Linked DNA regions of Schizosaccharomyces pombe. The protein of the gene in region 3 binds, or shares a complex with, the protein of the main gene of each other region. Each region holds a gene or a part of one and is shown on either strand. Other genes may lie near its edges.

Region 1 (3,667 bases), 1.8 Mb from region 3:
GAAAGCAAAACGTGTTGCCAAGCAACACTTATTGTGTAAGGGTAAATTTTACACCACGTTCGAGTAGTATGCAAGGCACCATTTCTTGATCTAAATAAAGACGTAAACCCTTGCGGTAGTGTATCGCTAAGAAGTGAGTTTATTTAGTAATAGTGTAATTACTGAGCTGGAAAAAATGAATATATCTCTCGAATATGCAATTCTGACGATATCAGTGCTGGATTAAAAACTATTCATTGACTAGATTCTTAATAAAGTTAAAAGCAACGGGATCACCCACAAACGATCTCATGCTTATCATTTGTAACTTTGAATATCTATCTATTAGATTAGGCTGATTGAGTAATGTCTTATACTATGGCTTAGTTCGAACAGGCTAGCTGCTTCCAATCAATACTTTATTAGCAAGTTTGTTATTACATATCTATTTTATAAAAAACAAAAAAATCATCTAAACTAGTCAAAATTCCTTACTAATTTGTAATACAGAACACTAGCTTAACTTCTACGAATACTTGAAAAGGAGGCTTAACCGTTAAAGCACATATCAACTTTCGGAACTTTAATATTCTATAAAACTAAATGATAGAATACATACCTTCCACTTGGTTCCACTTTTAACTCTTAAAGAAATGCTTTTGAGTAATCTTTAGAAGGAAATATCAAAATTCTTTAACCAGTTTGGGTGAAAGCTATAGTATTAAAGAGTAAAAATTTTATTTATAAATGTAAGTAAAAATAGGTACTATGTTGTGATAGCAAATCACTAAACAATAAACCCAAACCACACAAAAACATTGGATTCAAGTCCCCTCGGTAAAAATATAATAATGTACCCATAGCCCAAAAAATGCAATGAAACTTTTTACGATCTGTCTTTGACTATTAGTTTGCAGAAAAAAGCATCTGCACAGAAAGACTTCTGGTTCCCCTGAAAAGACTGAAAAAATCCAATAATACCACAAAGGACTTTCCAGACAAACATTGAGAGTTTAAAAATAAAAAAAAACCCCGAATTGGTCATTAAAATAATATAGGTGAAACGACGTATTCGTATGCTCCTTGCTATCATCTTTGACTAGCTCCTCTAGTCGTCTCCCTTAACAACACCAACCTTGGCAGGACGAATAACTCTTCCATTCAATTGAAAACCCTTGCTTTCGCAATGGAAGACAGTGTTGGGCTTTTTACCTTCAACAGGGATTTGGAAAACAGCTTCATGGATGTTAGGATCAAAATCTTCTCCGATACCGTCATAGCGAACTAAACCATATTTTCCTAAGGTTTTCATTAAGTTCGATTCAGTCATTGCTAAACCTTCATAAAGATCAACTAAATCCTTGTTGGACTCACGATTGTTACGCTTCTCCTCTGGAACAATTGAAAGAGCACGCTCCAAATTATCGACAGAATCCAAAAGATCCTTAGTAAGCTTTTGAACAGCAAATGCACGTGTTTGCTCCATGTCTCTCTTCATGCGGTTTTCCAAATTACGATAGTCAGCTAAGCTTTGGCGAATGCTACCCTTTAACTCCGCAACCTCTTTGTCCTTTGCTTCATATTTACTTTTAAGCTCAGAAAGCTTAGATTGAAGTTCCTTAACATCAACATTCTCTGTTTCGGCAACTTTTTCTTCAGCAGGCTTTTCTTCCTTAGCAGCCTCAGTTGAGTACCAAAGGAAACTGCGTTTATTAATGGGTGCTCGAATAAGCGTCCGAGGACGTACAGCGGATGAAAATACTCTTCCAAGCCCAAGCATTGTTTCAGTGAGAGCTTTGTGGTAAAAGACAACTGTGTCACACTATAGACAAATGGTGTTGTGAACTTAGCACTGTTAAATTTTACAAATATCAATTTCATCAACTTAAAAATTCGTTATGTTTCGTTAAATGAGGTATGGACTTTGAGATGGAAGCTGATTCAAAAAATATATAAATGACACTTTTTTCTCAAATTAAAGCTTCTATTTCGATATGTAACAAATTGATTGTAGGTTTGAACATGCATGTAGGAAAGCAACCCAAATTTCGAATTTGCTCAACACTGGAAGCCAACAACGGCTCATATGCTTATCAATTATTAATTTATTCTTTTCAGCTTCATTCTCAACAGATAATAATTAACTGATTTCTCATCTATATTTATATCCTTCTTGGTATGCTTTACGGCATTGGATTATATCGAAGTACTTACTTCGCAGCCTTTGAAAGTAAAATAATTGAATATTATAATTTAAGTTTTAAAATAATCCTATTTGTGTCATCTGGGCCATCTTATTATTTTTACATTCATCAGTTTATTTGCATAATGATATTTGTTGAACAATTTATGGGAGTCGAATTTTCACAAATTCCTATTATAATAATATCATATTCTTAATTACAGAAGTCTTCATAATAAAAGGTACCTTAGTTAAGTGTCAGATATGTCTTATCGGTATTGGACCTTACACTTTCATCCACCATCACTACTTAAACTCAGGAATACATTTGAGGATTGTAGAGGCAGAGCCATAGCTTTCTGTTAAATATTTATCTAAGCTTTGTGAAAATTTACGATTCAACCACTGAACACTTTTAATCGCCTACTAGTCCAGAAGTTGCGCTTTCAAGTAGCACCATACTCTCCTATTTTCCTGCTTGGACGTTTACCTAGATTTTCTAAATACTTATCTCTCTAAATCATGTCTTCACAATCATATCGAGAACGGACACTTGTTTCTGTAATTGGAGACGATGATACCGTTACTGGGATGCTTTTAGCTGGAACTGGTCAGGTAAATGAAAACGGTGACAAAAACTTTTTTATAATTACTCAGAGTAAGATTATCTGTTAAAAAATGGAATCGTGTTTTCGCTAACTTGCTGTTTTATGTAGAGACTACAGATGAGCAGATTGCTGAAGCTTTTGATGATTATACTACGAAAAGGAAGGATATTGCGATTGTATTGATTAACCAGTTTGCCGCTGAAAGAATACGTGATCGTATTGAAAACCATGTGCAGGCATTCCCTGCTGTATTGGAAATTCCTAGCAAAGACGATCCTTATGATCCTGAAAAGGACAGTATCCTCCGTCGTGTTAGAAAGATCATTGGAGAATAGACTATTAATATTTAATTATATTTTTTGAGCAATAATTTCAATTAGTCAACAACTCGATCGATTTGACTGATGACACTTTTATATTTGTATCTTTTGGTTTACTTACTGGCATACTAGCAAAAAATTGTAAGCAGAGTTTTTGTTAAACTATATTTGATAAATAGAAAAGTGATTATAAGAGAAATGTATTATTTTAAGTATAAATCTCATTCAACATCAAAACTGACATTACAACCACAAGAAGTCTTGGCACGTGGATTGTTTAAAAGTTGAAAAGAGGAACCAATAAGTTCATTTGTATACTCAATTTCAGAGCCACTTATCAAAGGTAATGAAATGTTGTCAGCAACAACCCTGGCTTTTCCACGCACAAATACCCTAGATATTTAGTCAATAACCAGGAAATACTTAATTAAAACTTATAGTCTTCTTAACCACATCACTTACGTGTCAGCATTTCCAATTTTGTTGTCCATGCGAAAAGATACTTGATATCCATGGCATCCACCACCATCGACAGTGACGCGCAAAACAGAGTTTTCTTCTGGTTTCCTTTCTGCAAT
Region 2 (3,484 bases), 1.3 Mb from region 3:
TTCGCTTCTTTTTGACTCAATGCTAATATATGACACAGGTAATTTTCGCCATTATTCTCCCTCCCTTGGGCGTTTTCTTGGAACGTGGCTGTGGTGCTGACGTTATTATCAACATTCTTCTTTGTTGTCTTGGTTACGTTCCCGGTATTATTCACGCTCTCTATATCATCTTAAAATACTAAGCATCCCTCTATTTCAATCCTCTAATATTTGTTCTTTTCGCTACTTATCATGTTTATAAAGGAAAGTGAAATAGACATGTGTATTCTTTGCTTCTTCTCTTGTCTGTTCTAGGAATTTATTATTCGCTTCATTTAATACCAAATGTTGTGAGGATATCATGGCTTTTGTATTAGTAAACAAAAAAACGGATTTTCTTTACTAAGAAAAAAGTTCAAAATAGTATCACGGTTGTTTGCACTCATTTTTTTTTCCTTTCCCAAAATCGACTGTGCTTAACCATGATATCTTTTTTTATCCATAATTGGGCGAATGATTTTACCGTATACTTTTTGCTATAGCCCAATAGTCTTCTTGTTTTACATAAAAGAATGTTTTATCATTTGCTCAACTGGAACTTATATTCTTTAAATATATTAGTTTAACGGTTCTTTTTTTTGTGTCTTATTCATTATTTGTAACCAAAATGTATTTCAATAGTAGTGTGTAATGATTGATATCTGGGAATAGATTAGATTATTGATCTCTTCATGGTGCCCGCAGCCCAGTCTAACTTTAAGGATTGGCCAGCGACAGTTAAAAGTCGAAAAGTAAGTTTTGGCTTAACCTCAGGCTCTCGTTTGAAGTCAATCCATATCAATGTACATCTCTCATCACATTGACAATATATGGCTCTGGTTTAACGGCATTGAGGGTATGTGGATAGCTAGACTAGTGTTAATTTTCCTTTTATCATAGTACAGGGCATATTCAAAAAAATATGAGGATATCAACCTCCTCACATTTCTTCAACTATTCGTAAACAAAAATATATCCCATTGCTTCTTTTTTTCTTAAAAAAAAAAAAAAGATAGATTCCATTTTACATTAAATTAAGGTAGACGTGTCGGTAAATACGTAGCAATAGCTAGCAACCCAAAATCAAAGAAAGTTTTAAGGTGAACTGGTTGGTTTCGCTGGGGATTGTTCTTGTATTTTTTGATCCAGTTCACTTTTCAATTTTTCATGAGCTCGGAACACTTTGCTCTGGAGGTAAAAAGATCCTCCTTTTTTAGGATCATTAATCTCAAACATTTTTTGAAATCGTTTTTCTAACTCTCCTTCTTCTAATGATTCTGGCTTAATGTTTAAAATGCTACCAGCTTCTTGAATAGTCATTTCACCTCGACGAACAGCAGTTGATGATTTGGAAGCAGCAGCTTGACCAGTACTTTGTTGAGCTGCATTAGCAATCATTTGCTTATAAGCTTGTACAAAAGCTTTGCTCATTACTAATATTGTTAGGGTTTTTAATCTTTTGAATAAATCCTTGATAGGAGAATGGCCACAAACATACCTTGCGAACCAACAATTATAAATCGACCGACAGCCCTTGGAAGCGACATTTTTTAATGTAATATAGTAATTTTGAACAAATAATTATGATAAATGTCTTCCTTTATTTTATTTTCAGACATACACATGCCCTAAACAGGAATTTTCACAAATTTTCTTGTAAAAAGGGTGGTGGTAAAAATTCCTTATAAGGCAGATTTCATATCAAAGAATCTAATACTACTTCCAAATTACAACCTTGATTTAATAATAAGAAGCATAAAGTTCACTATTTTAGACAAAAAAATATTAATATATTATGAATTTGCTTTATATTCTTTACTTTGTTTTACTACTCGTCACAATTCAAAGATCATGTAAACTGATTGTAAATTCAAATCATCTTATTCATTAGGGCTTCTTATACTCGCTGAAACAGTATGGTAATGGAGCTTAAACATAGTGACTTAATAATAAATATCATATTAAAGCTTTAACTTCATACTGAAAAAGGAATGCCGTGAGCACCGGGAAATCCAGTCAATGTCAAGTCAATTGAAACGTTATCGATTACCTCAAAGTTAGTAGGATCTGGAAAAAGTTTCTCGGTCACGGAGCCAGGCTGTTCAAAATGCATCGCTTCAAGTTCCTTCAGCCTTCTTTGACATTCCGCAAACTCAACCATCGCTAGTTTATAACGTTCAACAGCTTCTTCCAAAAGTTGCTTTTCTAAAGCAATGTCCGAAACCTTTTTTTCCAATGAGTTGATCAACTCCTTTTGTTCATGAGTTTGGTTAGCAGTTTTAGAGCCTTCAGAGCTTTGTTCTTTATTTTGCTTTATCGCGGATTTTTCACGCTCCTCAAACTCCTTGAAACGATTATTGAAATTCTCGTTAGCTTCACTGAGTTTCGTGGCACGTTCATTTAAACTTTTCTCATGTTCTTCAACCTTTAATAGACGATTTTCAAGGTCCTTTTCACGTTTTTTAAGATCATCTTCTTTTCCATTCATCTTCAGTTCTCTTTTATTAATCTCATTCTCTCTGATTAACAGTTTTGACTGGAATTCCTCAAGAGCGGCTTCTCTTTTGGATACGAGTGTCTGCTTTCCTTCACTGTCATCCGCATTAGCTTTTAATGTTTCATAATCATAAGTTAAGTCGTTAATGCGTTCTTTTAATTCTTTGATTTTCTTATCCTTTTGTTCATTAAGATCATGCAGGGTTTTTACTTGTTTTTCTAGTTCATCTTTTTCTTGACTGCTTGTACTTCGAGAAGTGACCTCTGTTTCAACGTTCTTTTTTATTTCACCATCAGGCTTGGCTGCTTTATCCTCACTTTCTATTACCGCTAAATCCTCCTTCTCAGGCTTCTCCGCAACCGACTCATCTACAGAATTTTTAACGACATTTTCAGATGTTTCCGGAGACTGAGTAGAAGCATCGCCGGTGGATGCCTCAGCACCTTCAGCTGAAACTACATTCGAAGCAGAAATATCCTCAGTGTTTTCAACTACTTGAGTATTGTCATTGCCTGTAGGCTCATTTACTTGATTATTGCCATCATTAGATTCGCGGTCAACATTATCTTCGGCAACTGAATTTTTAGATTTAGCTTGGCGTTTTTTCTTCTTGACCTCCAGCAACTAGCACTCGTAAGTTAAATGTTACAAAATATTATGCATACCCTTTGTTTAGCTGCAGCTAGCTTTTCTTCACGATCTGACATCTTCAAATTTGATACAAGATGAAAATAAATCAACAGGGAGTTGTAGTGTGGGCAGAATCAGTAAAGTATAGGTAAGTAGGGAAAGTTTGCGTGAGGCTTAACAAGTCCACGGATAACCAAGCATACTAAATAAAGTAGAAACATAAATATAATATATATTTGATGAATGAAAAACTTAAAAAAATGGATTCATATTTTTTATACGCTAGAGAGTATAGGTATATTTTATTACGCTGATTCGGTTTGAAAATGAAGGAAGATA
Region 3 (4,396 bases):
GAGGATTGTTTGCTGACAGAAGGCTTTTCGAGAACCTTTCTTTGTTGATCAGAAGCTTTCAAGGTAGCGGGTGTTGTCAGGTTAGTATCCTTTTCTGTTAACGGGGAGTCACCGTCTACGCTGAGCAGAGGAAATTGTATAGGATCATCATCACTGAACTCCTTGTAAACATGGAAATCTGATGCAGGTGTATTACGAATAGTTACTGAGGTAGCCTTATTCTGCATGCTAGGCCAAGGATCGAGCGTTTCACAATCAATTGCAACGTCGTCAAACCCCAGGGATTGAATGGGGTCCAAATGAACAGGAGGAGGCATATATTCGATATCTTCTTCAAGTTCATTTGGTAAAGGAGTGTCTGTTAAAGAGGAACGACGAGGGCTAGCCGAAAGTCGCTTCGACCGCTCTTGTACGGCTGATCGGGAAATTCCTTGTGAGTTTGGCTCCAAAATAGTAGGGGAATCCATCGAAATATCCATAGGAGACATTTTCTTTGTACTGGGAGCAGAAATAAATTTGGAAATGTTAGTACTCTTACCTCCCAGTACCGTTCTAGGAACCGTTACAGAAGAAGGTGCATTCGACTGCTTTGTAGACCCCAATGGTGCTCTTTTGGAGCCCGCTCCTTTTGTACCATTTCTGTTTGATATGGGAGTTACAGGAAAAGCGTTTTCTTTTCCATATGAAAACATGGTTCTTGGCAACATCGTTGTCTATAGTCCAAGGCTGGTTTATTATTTCACAGGTGACATTCAATTGTGACCTGCACAATTTAAAATAGTAAACAAAGCGATAATTTGAAGAAATATGATCACCTTTTAAATTTTTACTTTTACAAATGCATAATAAATTGTTTTGTTTTGTTTTTGAATTGCTTAATTGGATTGAAGATGATTTATGATATTCAGGTTGCTTTTATCGTCTAGTGTTCAAGATGGAAAACCAGTTCTTCATGAAACAAATAATTTTACATTCCAACTATACTATGTTGTAATCATTCTGAATCATTATCAGAAAAGTTGGAAGTGTATTACAACTGATCATTTCGTATAAACTTGATGTTGAATGAATCTAAGCTTTTAAAGCTAGATCTGTCTGCCAAAATTGATCAGTTATGACTTTAAGTATCCCATTTCGTTATTGAAGCTGAAAATTTACAACCTGTGATAAATAATATAGGAGCTTCAACAACTGTTTTCATAAAAAATCATGAAACACATTAATCATCAGAAAAATTCGAGGTTTACTACAACTTAAATGCGCCTTTTGAATTCTGTATAAACCAGCTACTTCCTTATTTTCAAATAAATTTCATCAAAGAAACTTAGGGGCACAACAAACGTCGCATGTTATTAGAAAGAATTACATACAAACATTCTATCAAACTGATAAAAAAAAAAAAAAAGATACAAAATTAAGAGATCTTTAAATTTTTCTAGATTTGAAAAATCTCTACAAATGAATAAACGAAACTTCAAAATGCTAATTAATACTATTGCTTTTATCTCCAAAACCCGCTACATACTCAAATTATCCAGTTCTATATAACGCATTGTAATATATCTATGCTGCTTATTGAATACTTTTTTTCATAACTTCATACGATCTCTTACCACCCACATGGTATCGATTCCCAACAATATTGTAAGCAACAGCTACGACTGTTTCAACCAATACGAAAGGAAATTGATCGGTACTCTTATTCTTTAATATATTAGGATCATGCGTAATTTATGCTTCCCTCTATATCAATATTTTAATAGTTGCATTTCAGATAAAATGAGCGAATTCGTAAAAATTCTAATCGTAAACTCCTCTTAGTAAAGTAAAAAAGTCCAAATATAAGAGAATATGCTAACTTTTGTTAACAAAAGACTACTTCTCGATATTTAGGATTAAGGTATCTTTCCACCTTTGTGGCACTTGAACCTTCCATCCACCACTCACTAGGCTGCTATATCGGTTTGCAATAAAAGGCAGCAAAGTGGATTAATTTTCGCGTAATAGCGTTGAGATTTATTTATTCAATAGGAAAGAAAATGTTTCTATCAAGAAAAATCACAAAAAATGCCCGCACAATAGTTCAATGCCAGCGGTTTTTCCAAACGTCTATATTCTCTCAAAATGCAGCACCTCAATCGCCAATCAAGGTGTTCATGGATACATTTAGAGCAGAATTAAAGAAGAGCCAGGAATTACAGGACAGTGTCAAAGCATTGCAAGATAGTTCAGGATCATTAAGTGAAAGCGACACTTTCAAAAAAGCGAGAGATGCTTACGAAAAAGCGCGCTCGGGAACTACTGCAGCTTCATCTTTCACAGGAAAAACTGTTGGCAAAGCTGGTGCCAAGATTGGCTCATATGCCCAAAAAGCTTGGGAAAGTGCTCCTGTACAATTATCAAAAAAGGTCATTTCAAGCACCGCTAATACTGTAGCTACTGGTGTTGACACTGCCACAAAACCCGTACGTGAAACTGCATTTTATAAAACAATTAAGCAAACAATGTCTGATGGTAGCACCTCTTCACGTTATGGATTTTATGCTGACAAGGAACAACGTAAAAAATTGCGTGAAGAATTTGAACGTCGAAACAGAATGTTTGCTAGCTCGGCAAGGATTCAGCCTAACGAAGACGTCCAAAGCGTCGTCGTACATAGCAACCCGTCGTGGAAGAATAAGGTTGAGCAAATAAAAAACGAATCGCGTTTAGTTCGTAAAATTCAAGAGCTTAAAAAAAGTTATCAGGAGTCTGAACATCCTATTGTCTCCTCCATTCGTGACATGGCCGACAGTATTAGTGGCGTTTGGTCTCGAATGTTTTCAGAAACTGAAGCATCGCAGGTTATGCGACGCTTTAAAGAGATTGACCCATCCTTTAATACCGAGCATTTCCTTCAATATTTAAGAGAATATATTGTCCCGGAAGTTACCGAGGCATATGTTAAAGGAGACAAAGAAGTGTTGAAGACTTGGCTTTCGGAAGCCCCCTTTTCCGTATATGAAACTACTACCAAGGAATATGCGAAACATGGAGTTGTTAGTGTTGGTAAAATCCTTGACATTCGTGGCGTCGACATCATGTCTCAAAGACTTTTACAGCCAAATGATATTCCCGTTTTTATCGTCACTTTTCGTACTCAAGAGGTCCATATGTTTAAAGATGCTAGCAGTGGCGAATTAGTTGCAGGAAAGGATGATCGTATTCAACAATGTACTTATGCTTCTGTCTTTACACGTGTAGAAGACGAGCTTGATAATCCGGAGACAAGAGGTTGGCGTATCGTTGATTTCGCACGTGCACGAGCCGTTGATTATTTCTAAATGCGAAAATATTCCAAACATTTGTCTTTCTATCGGCTTCTAATTTTAACATGTAAACATTTTTTTTGGAATCAGATTTTTTCTTCCTGCATAGCATATTTCGTTTGGGTTATATTTCTCTGTCACTCATATGATTAATTACTATTTAATATTTCAAAAGTTTTGTCAAGTTTGGAAATAACTCTTGGATTTCCTGGACTATGTCCACCATCATCTACTTAAGAAGACCGCTGATATTCCCTAATGATCGATCTTCTTTTTTTTTTTGTTTCTTTTTGATGACAAGTCTAAGCTTGTCATTCTTTTTTTTATCACATTTTTCGTTTGTCTACTTTGAAAAGTCTTTAATGTAGTAGAAGATTTTATTAATTTAAAATCTTTTATTTAACTCGGGTTTTGCGGGATGGGTTTAAGAATTGAGGTTTTGCTATCTTTTTCTTAAAGGATACGCGTGTTTAATACTTTTTCAACAATCGTATTTTAGGACGCGTGCATTTTTTAGCTCAATATCATAATCACTTTAACATGTTTTATAATATTTCCAATAGTTTTGGATTAAATAGTGCAAGAAATATTTTAAATTGGGAAAAATTTGGAACATTTATATTAACAAATAGATGTAGAGAATTTGACCTTTCATAAATTAATAAACGGTTGGTTTTAAAATTAAAATGGATACTTGTTGCTTGATATCCGACTCATTATCCCTTTTTAAACCTTTAATTAAGTAAATCTCAATCCTTTTGTTTGTATATTATAATCTCCTAAAATTGAGGCATAGGTTGCCATGACTACTGGTTTTTGGTGGTAGCACTGTTGTAACCTGTGGAGGTACATATACTCAACTTCCTCCTATATCAGATTTGTTTAGACAGGATTTAACAATCTTAAACAATGACTTCTGCGACAACTACTGAAGCTACCGCTAAAGATTTACAGGAGAAGCTTTCGCTGAAAGAGAACGACGTGGTTGAAGATGATGGAAAAGTAGAGGAAAATGATGCCGCTGAAGAAGGAGCCAGCAATGGAGAAAAGAAGAAAAAAAAGAAAAAAAAGTCTTCTAAAAAGAAAAA

What was found. The genes of interacting proteins can lie anywhere in the genome.
Region 1: tim44 (region 3) and mge1 share a complex: the UniProt entries of both Schizosaccharomyces pombe proteins name them as parts of the PAM complex.
Region 2: tim44 (region 3) and tim16 share a complex: the UniProt entries of both Schizosaccharomyces pombe proteins name them as parts of the PAM complex.

The regions. Positions count from the first base shown.
Region 1 is NC_003423.3:4,020,639-4,024,305, reverse strand, and holds mge1 (GrpE domain-containing chaperone mge1), read right to left. Parts: upstream 1,790-3,667; 5' UTR 1,760-1,789; coding exon 1,088-1,759; 3' UTR 534-1,087; downstream 1-533. Other genes in the region: vma7 (V-type ATPase V1 subunit F), read left to right, coding at 2,684-2,819, 2,878-3,104; Fe-sulfur protein Isa2, read right to left, coding at 3,311-3,482, 3,552-3,667. UniProt on the Schizosaccharomyces pombe protein: Essential component of the PAM complex, a complex required for the translocation of transit peptide-containing proteins from the inner membrane into the mitochondrial matrix in an ATP-dependent manner.
Region 2 is NC_003423.3:884,697-888,180, reverse strand, and holds tim16 (TIM23 translocase complex subunit Tim16), read right to left. Parts: upstream 1,689-3,484; 5' UTR 1,566-1,688; coding exon 1,517-1,565; exon of another isoform or gene 1,452-1,516; coding exon 1,114-1,451; 3' UTR 534-1,113; downstream 1-533. Other genes in the region: plasma membrane proteolipid Pmp3, read left to right, coding at 39-182; SPOM_SPBC713.09 (uncharacterized protein), read right to left, coding at 1,994-3,139, 3,181-3,222. UniProt on the Schizosaccharomyces pombe protein: Essential component of the PAM complex, a complex required for the translocation of transit peptide-containing proteins from the inner membrane into the mitochondrial matrix in an ATP-dependent manner.
Region 3 is NC_003423.3:2,203,515-2,207,910, forward strand, and holds tim44 (TIM23 translocase complex subunit Tim44), read left to right. Parts: upstream 1-1,948; 5' UTR 1,949-2,039; coding exon 2,040-3,323; 3' UTR 3,324-3,859; downstream 3,860-4,396. Other genes in the region: securin cut2, read right to left, coding at 1-692; methionine aminopeptidase Fma2, read left to right, coding at 4,218-4,396. UniProt on the Schizosaccharomyces pombe protein: Essential component of the PAM complex, a complex required for the translocation of transit peptide-containing proteins from the inner membrane into the mitochondrial matrix in an ATP-dependent manner.